3 linked regions of the Oryctolagus cuniculus genome follow. The protein of the gene in region 3 interacts with the protein of the main gene of each other region in a pairwise test. Links are inferred from orthologs where the notes say so. Each region holds a gene or a part of one and is shown on either strand. Other genes may lie near its edges. The genes, in order: NEBL, IMP3 and ZYX.

Region 1 (3,648 bases), on a different chromosome or scaffold from region 3:
ATTGCTTAAGGTGACTTGGAAAATAAAAGCTGGAAAGTGGACAGGAAGTCTTCAGATGGACCAATTTCAGCGGCTAGATTTCCATGCCAGAATCTGACTGGCAGTTTCCAAACCCGGAGGCTACATCATCTCAAGGTGGAGTTGCTAACTTTTTGTTTGCTGGGTTTGACTCCCATGCATTCCACAATCCATTTTTCCACTGGTTTCTATAACATTTTCATTTTTAAATCAACAGCAGTGTTAAGTTAATGAAAGCTGTTCAATAAACACCTAGATCACTTATTTACTAGAGTATACGTGTTATTTCCTAAGATGTAAATCCTTCAAAACTAGAGTGCAATGCAGGAAAATCTCAAGCAACTTCTCAAAATATGTTATTCGATGAGCCAGCAGCTAGAGGAAGGGCTGTAGGAGCAGCCAAGGTTTTTTCTTTAATTACAGGGGTGGGCAGGACAGCTGCCTATGTTACAAAAGCTGGAACCTACAGGACATGCAACAGGCTCAGGGCTACTAGGGAAACACGAGAGATGACATCACAGTGTCCCCTCTGCAGAGTAGCTGTGAAGGTGCTTGGTCCTGACATTCTGTGGAGCTGAGGCTACACAGGGTCCAGAGAACGCAGATGGAGAGGGGGGAACGCCTTGGTACAAATGAGAAACAAACAGATCTCGGTCAGCCCAGGGCACGCGGATGTTTCTAGGTCCCTAAGGCCACCAGTCCATATAATTTTAACCAAACTGTCATTTTGCCATTGCTTACATTTACTGCATTAGGCAATTTTTGCCTGAGCTGGAAATCGCCCAATGACTCCAAAACTCACCAGTGTTTAAATTATCGGCTGCATTACTGAATTAAGAGAATTGGCTTCTTGGTGATGATTCCAAAGTGACAGCTAAGAAGTCTCATATTACTCATGACATTGAAGGGACAATCAACACTTCTATTAAATAAGTCTACAAAAATACATTTCCCCAGAAGGGTTCAATAGCCAATCAAAAGAAACCACGAACACAATTCGCAGCACCAGGTCTGCAGACATTAACGATTTTGTGTACAGGAATTCCTGAAAACACTGCTGTCTCCAGCCCAGAAGTCCCTCCTTCTTCCTGGTACCTGTGTGTCTACTTGTCAAAGTAAGGATACATTATTGTAAAATAACTGCCAAATTTTCTTAAAAGTATCGTCTATCTTTTAAAAAGATCAGATTTAGAATACATTAGAATAAAGCTCAAAGGGCAAGGAGAAAGACTTAATTAACAAATTCAATGTAATTGGCCGGCAGCATCCCTGTTCTGCCCGTTCTCTGCACGGTGCCGTACATCCAGCCGTCGTCGATGGGCTGCACGTTGACGATGTAGTCGCCATCTCGGAAGGAGACCTCGTCTTCGTCCTGGGCGCTGTAGTCGTACATGGCCCGGTAGGTCCTCTGAGAAGGCAACAAGAGATCACACGATGAACACCAAGACGGTCATGACCACAGATACCAGGCACGACCAGCCTAACCCACGCAAAAGGGAACTGCTAGGAGCATTTGCAAGTGCATCTCTTTCTGGAAATCCGTCTAGTCGGATTGATTGCAAATTAAGCAGCCTAGCAACAAATGCGCAGTATGGGGTGGGGGGCATTACAGTTTGAAAAGCCACAAATAGCTTAGCAAACCCGTGGAAAAGTAGGCTTGGGAACAGTAAAGGCAACAGCTTCACATAATCCCAGTGTCCTTAGATGATGTAGGGTCTCCCCTGAGCCACATTTTTCAGAGAACAAAACCCACCATGGAGGCAGTTCCCGGTACCCAGCAGAGGCCGTGGACTTCTTGAACAGTACTAAGAATTTTTGTTTCGCCTCAAAAATACATTTTAAGAAAAGAAAAATTCATCATCTACTGACTTTATAGGTTTTTTTGTATCATAGTGACAGAAATTCAGCATATAAATGTTATGAATATTGAGGTATATTTAATATAAATGTCATAAGGGGAAATCTTTAAATTGAGTTTTCCTGTATTTGCTTTTGCTTCAGGGTATGAATTCAACTAATTATCACACAACCTCAAAATCTAGTGCATTATGGAATTGAAGACACTGGCCAGGACACAAAGAAAGGCAGAGACATTAAAGTCCTCTTGTAGCTTAGGGAGCCACCTGCTTCTAAGTGTGCAGGAAGCAGCCAGCGGCTAGGTCCCAGGCTTGGAGAAGCAGTTCGAGCACAAGATGTTGAGTGCGATCGGATGGTTTCAAACGCCACACTCAGCAGATGCATCAGTACTTCAAGATTTCCAGAGCCGGGATCTGAAGGCACATTTTTCCCCACTCTGGGTCATTCACACTTTTGTGGCCATTTTAATAAATGTCAAGATTTAAGCCAGCGCTGTGGCTCACTAGGCTAATCCTCCGCCTTGCGGCGCCGGCACACCGGGTTCTAGTCCCGGTCGGGGCGCCGGATTCTGTCCCGGTTGCCCCTCTTCCAGGCCAGCTCTCTGCTGTGGCCAGGGAGTGCAGTGGAGGATGGCCCAAGTGCTTGGGCCCTGCACCCCATGGGAGACCAGGAGGAAGCGCCTGGCTCCTGGCTTCGGATCAGCGCAGTGCGCCGGCCGCAGCGCGCTGGCCGCGGCGGCCATTGGAGGGTGAACCAATGGCAAAAGGAAGATCTTTCTCTCTGTCTCTCTCTCTCACTGTCCACTCTGCCTGTCAAAAAAAAAAAAAAGGTTTAATTTGTTAATGTGGCCATCAAATATGAAGGTACTTCAAAGAGTACATAGAAAAAGTGAATTAAAGATGAGTTTATGTTGGTGCAAAAAAAAAGTTTTGAAATCCACACATAGCTGTTTTGTGATAAATATCTTCCATGAGCTGTATGAAGATGCTTCCCATCTGTGCTTTCTCGGCCTGAGTGAAAACCGCAACTGACGCCATCGGGATATTGTTACTCGCAGACCCCTTTTAAGTTTTCTTTTTTTTTTTTTTTTTAATATGCTTAGTAATGCCTTCCTTTTTCAACGCTTTAACTCTGGACATTTCTTGCTCCCTTTGAAAGAACTGTAGAAACGGCAGCACATCACCACCTATCTTTACATGAAAAAGCTCAACATTCAACTCGCCTCTATTCCACGTGTATTTACCGGTGTTTTTGAGGTAGAATGAAACCAGAGTGGAAGACGTATGTCTGACTGACACTTACTAGATTTGGAGAATGCTGTATGGACCTCATGGATGACACGCTGGCCTGGTGCATGAACCCGTAGCCCTGGGAATGGCTTTGCTGGTAGGCTCCAGGAAGAACCGGTGCTGCCCAGGAAACACACACACATAGACACCTTAAACTTAGCTTCCAAGCACCACTCCCCGGCCCACACAGTGACCCCATGCTGCGCTGGCAGCTTCTGGAACAAGATGTCCTTGTCAGTGCCAAGTGAACTTGAGTAACAGGGTTACAAGCAATCTCTAGATTAGTATCAATCTTGGTAAGTGAGGACACACAAAATATCATGTTGCATGCAGTTGTAAGACATTTGAGATATTTTTATTACTCTATTACAGATGCTATGTTAAAACAACATAAATACAAAGTAAAGTTTCCTATAATCCCTCAGCAAAATTCTGTTTTTATTTGGCCATGTAATCCTTTTAGGCATTTTCCAAACTAAAAGTC
Region 2 (2,659 bases), on a different chromosome or scaffold from region 3:
TGGACACGCCCCAAAGGCCGGCTGTGCCAGCGTGCAACTGGACCCCAGGCCCCTGCTTCCTGGGAACTCTGCCTCGGTTCCCGCAGGTGGAAAGCAGAGACTAACAGACTCCTCACTTCACAGGGCTGCTGGGAGGGCCACACGGGTTAACAACATTCGGCACGCATTCACGCCGAGCCTGGCACAGGAGGCGCTTGCTACTGTCACCACCCCACACCACCATCCCATCATTCCGGGGACCACACACCCGGATGTTGTCCACATTCTCCTTCCCTTCCAAGCCTCCACCGCCCCCTAAGAGCATTCAAGTGCCCGGAAGCCTCCTGGGCCACGTCTAACCGCCAGGTGGCCAGGCTGCAGCGTGAGGAGTGCCCTCAGCCCTCTCCGCTGGTCCGCGGCTGGAACACCAACAGGGAATCCTGCGGGCAAGAGCTCTGCCGAAGCCCTCAGCCCGAGGAAGGGGCCCGGTCAAGTGACAAACCCGTCCGGCCGTAACAGCAGCACCCGCAGCCTCTCGGCGCCGGGTTCCTGAGCTGGGAGACCTACAGAACTGACCCCGTGTTGAGAAAACCAGAGAGAGAGAGAGGGGCACTTCCAAAGTAGCTGGGCGTCAGGGAGACACTCCTTTAAATGACGGAGGGGACCCTGAACACTCGCTTTATTTAAACTTGCGCCTTAACTCTGCCACGGTGAGCAGCTAACTCACGATCAGGGGGCAAGAAACCGAGCCAAACAGCCACGAGACGATACAGACGAGGTGGGCGTGGGCGCGCCGGAGTTCTGGCTACTACCCTGCAAGGTGTAGGGCGCGGGAAATTTAGAGTCCCCCACCCCACCCCGAGCACAGCACGGCTTCCCGCTGTCACCATCAGGCGTCCGAGTTCTAGGAAGACAGTAAGTACTCCCCTGGTTCTGCGTGGCCTGCGACTAGGGGTCCAGTTCCTAGAGCGCCCACGGCCGCCGGCACGCTCTGGGGGAATCCGGCCGCAGGCCTCTCGGTCTCCCCGGGCTAGGCTTCCAGGTCGAAGTCATCGCGCTCCTCGTTGTACTCCAGCACGTGCCGCTTGATCTTGGACGAATCGACCCAGGTGACGAAGTCCTCCATGCTGCGCGTGACCAGGAAGGCGGGGTCGGTGACCACGTCGGGGCCCACGCGCACGTGGCCCTGCTCCACGAAGGCCACGGCCGCCTGGAGGTGCTGCGCCATGCGCAGCTTGAGCAGCACGGTGGGCAGGCGGCGGCGGCAGAACGACGAGGCCGTGACCGAGTCGCAGAGCTCCAGCGAGCCGCGCGTGGGCACCAGGCCGAGCGCGTACAGCTTGTCCAGCAGCGCGGCCGAGGCGCGCACGCGGAACGGGTCGCGCTCGGGCAGGTCGCGCAGGCGGCGCGCCAGCTCGCGCACGGCACGGCTCAGCTGGTTGTAGCGCGTGTAGTCCTCGCGCCGCTGCAGCCGGTACCGCCGCAGCACGCGCAGCTCGTGCAGGTTGTGGTCAGTGACCTCCCAGTTCAGGAAGTCCACCTGCTTCAGCAGCTTCTGCTCGTGAAACTTCAGCTTCCGGACCATGATGGCGGCCGCCGCAGCGCGAGACCCGAAGCCGGCGGCGCGTTCCGCCTGGCGCGCGACTTCCGCCCGCTGTGCTCGGGCCAATGAAGGAAGGGCTCGAGGCCACGCCCCTAGTTTCCCATTGGCCAGGGTGGGGCCACGCCTCCTGTCCGGATCTCGCGTTACTTCCCTTCTCCTGGTCCCGAGCCCAGCGGGTGGCGGCGAGGGGCGTGTCTCGAGGAAGCTCCTTGCCGCGCGTGGAGGCCGGGAATGCCTTCCCCAGGGCGGTAGCAGTTTTCTCCCAGATTTCTGCTTTTTGGCGTCTCTCGGGAGAGTCTCCTCTCGCGAGCCGAAGGGGAAGCGGGGCGACTTGGGCCCTCTCTGCGGGGGTTTCCTGCGCCGGCCTTCAGCTTCCCGGCCTGTCCAGGGATTGTCCCCCACCTCCAGGGGACCGAGCGGTCGCCCCGTGCCCAGGGGCGGGGAGGTGGCACCGAGTCTATGAAGTACTGGTTCCCAGGACGCGCGGAACGCGGAGCTTGCGGGGGGGGGGGCGGGGCTGGAGACGGACGCTGCTAACACGGACTGTCCACTCATCAGACCTGCGCCGTGGACGTTTTGGCCTGGGCTCGGACGCATTGGCCCGCCGGGCTGGCCGTGGCCCTCCGGGGTGGCGTTAACGGGAGGGGAAGGCTGCTGGGGCCGCAGGCCTGGGACGCCACCTAGCTATCTCTTCGTTGTAATACTCGGTAGTATTTGGTATCTGGTTTTAAAAGAATGCAGGTAACTCGTAAGTTATGAGGCTCGCCCAAAACCAGTCCCAGCCGTGTCCTTTCCCAAGGATGAAAGTCCCTCCCCTCCCGGAATGTGCATTATTCCGTTCAAAAAGAAGCAGTTTGGTCACCACGCGGGCGTGGCTGGATAGACCAGCGCGAAGCCTGGGAGCAGCAGAGGGCTGCTGGCAGCCCCCTGCGGCCCCCTGCGGCCCCCTCCCTTGCCTTTGGAACCAGAGCCTGCAGCTCAGCGTCGGGGAGGGGGGGTGATTGGTCCAAGTGCGCTGACATCTGAGAAGTGTTGGCGTGGAAGACTTGGCTCTGTGTGCTGTCTGTTATATGTAGC
Region 3 (3,748 bases):
CAGAACACAGTGCCTGGCATCCAGCTGATGTTGGCTCAGTCTTTGTTTACTGGGGCTGTGGCTCTTATCTCCAGATGGGCCCTCGGGCAGTGAAAGGACCAGAGGAGCTGCGAGATTAACTTAAGGCCCAGGAATGGGGAAAAACCAACATTGGACCGGTGATGTCATCCTCCCCTTTAACCTCCCAGGGCAGAAGCGCAAGAGAATGTGCACCAAATCCTCTAATTCCAAATCTGGAGCCACGCCCCAGCCAGCCCCTGCAGAAACTCTCTCCCTTCCCATTGTCTGACCGATGGACCCACCACACTGATGCCCACCCCATCTCTCCCAAGCCACCTCCACTGTGATTCCCTCCCCCAGCACCCTGGTCTCGGCCCTGACCTATCTCGCCCCCTCACCTGGTTTTGCTTCTGAGCAGGTGGGGGCACTGGGTGCTGCTTCTCCTGCACGCGGGGCTTCTCTTTCTGCTGAGCATAGGTGAAGCTGGGGGGTTGAGGGGAACCCGTGCCAGTGGAAGAAGCAGCTTCCGGAGGTCCCAGCTTTTGACTGGGCTGTGACCCAGGGCCACCGGGGGCTCCAGGGCTGAACTTGGAAGCCACGGGAGTAAACTTGGGAGCCACTGGAGAAAACTTAGGGGCTGGTGCTGGAGGTGGAGCTGGAGGACCTCGGGACTGCGCGTTAGCGGAAGACACAGGCTGGGAATGAGCCTGGGGCTGAGGCTGCACATGCAGCTGGACCTGAGGCTTGGTCTGGGGCTGGGCCTGGGGCTGAGCCTGGGGCTGGACATGGAACAGCGCTTGGCTCTGAGGCTGGGACACGGGCTGGGAGCTGGGAGGTGCCTTCCAGGGGGGCAAGGGTGCTGTGCCCCCGGTCGCAGGCTTAGTACTGGACTTGGGAATGAATGGAGTGGCAACTGGAGGGGGCACATATCCAGATGACACCTGCAAGAGAGGCAGAGGGAGAGAAGCAAGTTAGAGGCAGGGGCTGCCCTCCACGCTTCCTTCTCCAGTCTCTCCTCCCTGGCACTCAGGGTGCCTACTCCCCAGGCCCTTACCCGGGCTTTGAAGGGATCATTCTTGGTCATGTCATCCAGCAGTGAGGACAGAGAGTCGATCTCCAGGTCGATGCTGCTCACCTTCTCCCTGGGCTACAGGATCAGGGGTCAGAGCATCCATCCCCGTCTCCCATTCCCACGCCACCCCTCCCGCAACAGGGCAGAGGTACAGGGGCAGGTCACAGCAGGCCCCCTTCTCTCCTTTCCTTGAGGCGTCCCAGTGCACTGACCCCTCCCCAGGCCTCCATACCTGCGGCGGGGGCGGCATGGGGGCCTCGGGCGTGCCCTCATCCTCCAGCGGGGGCGGTGGAGAAGGAAAGATGTCCTCCTCGGAAGGTGCAGGGGGGAACGGTTCCTCGATCGGGGGAGGCGGCGGGGGGAAGGCACCTCCCAGCGCACCCTCCGCGTCGTCGCCATCCCCAGGTGGGGGAGGCGGGGGTAAGGGAAAGTCTAGGGCGGGGAGAGAAGCGGCCATCGGCAGCGGCCCCGCCACCGCTGCCCCAAGCTGCCCTCCGTCCACAGCTCTGACTCTAACCCTAACCCAAGAACTGCCTCGGGGGTCCTGGAGTGTGCGGGAAGGGAAAGGAGGGGTGCAGGGCGCCCAGGGGGGCACAGGTCAGGAAAGGCCGGAGGTGGGGGGGCACGGCCGAGGAGTGGTGCGGCTCCCGTTACACTTGGGAAAACGGACCCACAGGGGAAGATTCGTGGCCCACATTCCCGCCTCCCACCCCCAGGCGGGGACTTGGAACGATCCCAGGAGCCCTGGCTCCCAGCCATGAGCTCCACGATGAGGTAAGAACATCTGCTCGGGACAGGGTGGCTGCACCCAGCCCCCTCCGCAGCTACCTTTGCAGGCGTCCCCCCGCCCCTTGCTCAATCCCACTGCCCCCACCCCGCCGCCCGCGGGGGTCCAGCCCCTCAGCCCTGCCGCATACCTTCCGGGGGCGGCGGGGGGATCTCGCCCACCCGGCCCATCTGTGCGCGCTGGGCCCCGGCTGCCGCTGGAGGCTCGCCGTCCCCGGGCCGGAAAGGATTTACTTTGGGCTTCGGTGCCACCACCGGGCCGAACTTCTTCTGCGGGGCGTAAAACGCCGGAGCCGAGACCGAGACGGAGATCGCGGGAGGCGGGCGGGGGGCCGCCATGGCCTGGCCGGGCTGCTGGGGGTGGGTCTCCAGGTTACGCGGCGCCGAACTGCGCTGGGCTGGGCAGGAGACTCCCCCGGAGGCCCGAGCGCCTCCCGACGACCCCCACCCGCCGCCTCCCGGAGCCCCGCGCCCCGCGCCTCACCGCGGACCGGAGCGTGCGCGCCGCGTCTCCAGTGGCCGCCTCGGCGCCGGGTCTGCGGACTGTGCGTCCCGGTCCCGAGCAGCCTCCAGCCAGGCGGGGGAGGGACGCAGGGAAGAGGAGGGAGGGCGGCAGGGGGCGGGGAGAGAGCGGCGCCGCGACCATACAAGGAGCGGCCCGGAGAGGGGGCGGGGAGAGACAGGGCGGGCGCGGCAGGAAACTCCCCCAGGAAGGGGCCCAGATCCTGCCCTGGGCCGAGGGCTCCGCTAAGGTCCGCCCGCCCCCGCCGCACTCCCAGCCGTGCTCGCAGCCCTGGCCGGTCGCAGACCACCCCTCCCTGAGCACAGGCCTCTGATGTCATTTCCTGACCTGCCCCCCCACCCCCAACTCCGCGCCCGTCAGCGGGTGCCGGAGATCTGACTCACTGGCCCCACTCCGGGCTGAGCCGGCGGAGGTCGAAAGGGTCCCCCGAGGCAACGGAGCGAGCAGCCCCCTTGCGCCTCCGCCCTGGCCCAGCCGCCTCCTCTGGGGCCTGCAGTTACCTGCGGCCCTGCCACCCTCACGGCTGCACCTCCCACGCCGTCGGCAGCACCGCGCCCCGAGAACCCACCGGCCAGCGCTGGCTGCAGGACCAGGACCAGGGCCGTTCTCGTCCCGCGCCCTCCTGGCAGGCCCTTCGGCGATCGGTGGCTGTGTGAGCCTGAACCTCTTGCGACCTAGGGGTATCGTAACTTCCAACCCTAGGCAGCCTCTGCAGGCTTCTAGGAATTCGCAACACTGGCGCCCCCGGCTGCGGATCAGTTGCGCCAGAGATATTCTGGACCAGCGGGCCCGAGGGAGGTAGGTAGGGGGCTGCTCAGCCCTGGCCAGGGCAGCCGGAGGATCTAGTAGGACCCGGGGAGACGTGGACGCGAGCAACAAGCCTGCCACAGCTGAGCCTCCGCCGCGACCCACGCCTTCGGGAGCCTCCCGAGCGACACAGCTCGGTAGAGCCCCCACTCATCCGACCGGGTTGCTCAGCCCCAGGCTACGCCAAGGAGACCAAACCTGAGTGCCACTTTTTATTTTTTAATTGCGCACGGAAACTTACCCAGTGGCTGAACTCCACGCTTGCAAAGCTATGGAGTCTAGGCCTTTGCCCTCTAGTCCAGTATCCACCCACTCTCCACTCTCTCATTCCATCAGCCCTGAGTGACATCTGAAACAGACCTCTTGTTGACTCAGTGTCTCCGCCCTGGCCCTCCAAACCGACTGAACCCCACTGCCAAGGAGCATCTGGGAGATGCTTTTGAGAGCATCCAGACTCGCCCCTTACTTCACGCTGGGGAAGTGGAGGCTGCCCGCTGAGGGGGTGGGCCCGGTCACACCCACGAAGCAGCCGGCTTCCTCCAGCACCTGCCGTCAGGTGG

Evidence for each region.
Region 1: the proteins of ZYX (region 3) and NEBL interact in a two-hybrid assay, tested with the Homo sapiens proteins (2 studies listed by BioGRID and IntAct). The link is inferred for Oryctolagus cuniculus from reciprocal best matches to the Homo sapiens genes ZYX and NEBL.
Region 2: the proteins of ZYX (region 3) and IMP3 interact in binary tests that used the Homo sapiens proteins (3 or more experiments, as listed by UniProt). The link is inferred for Oryctolagus cuniculus from reciprocal best matches to the Homo sapiens genes ZYX and IMP3.

The regions. Positions count from the first base shown.
Region 1 is NC_091444.1:47,107,870-47,111,517, forward strand, and holds part of NEBL (nebulette), read right to left. Parts: intron 3,285-3,648; coding exon 3,178-3,284; intron 1,427-3,177; coding exon 1,250-1,426; 3' UTR 1-1,249. UniProt on the Homo sapiens protein: Binds to actin and plays an important role in the assembly of the Z-disk. May functionally link sarcomeric actin to the desmin intermediate filaments in the heart muscle sarcomeres.
Region 2 is NC_091443.1:108,368,000-108,370,658, reverse strand, and holds IMP3 (U3 small nucleolar ribonucleoprotein protein IMP3), read right to left. Parts: upstream 1,638-2,659; 5' UTR 1,565-1,637; coding exon 1,010-1,564; 3' UTR 593-1,009; downstream 1-592. UniProt on the Homo sapiens protein: Component of the 60-80S U3 small nucleolar ribonucleoprotein (U3 snoRNP). Required for the early cleavages during pre-18S ribosomal RNA processing. Part of the small subunit (SSU) processome, first precursor of the small eukaryotic ribosomal subunit.
Region 3 is NC_091434.1:180,378,461-180,382,208, forward strand, and holds the start of ZYX (zyxin), read right to left. Parts: upstream 2,535-3,748; 5' UTR 2,505-2,534; coding exon 2,343-2,504; intron 2,213-2,342; coding exon 1,990-2,212; intron 1,505-1,989; coding exon 1,305-1,504; intron 1,148-1,304; coding exon 1,055-1,147; intron 942-1,054; coding exon 399-941; intron 1-398. UniProt on the Homo sapiens protein: Adhesion plaque protein. Binds alpha-actinin and the CRP protein. Important for targeting TES and ENA/VASP family members to focal adhesions and for the formation of actin-rich structures.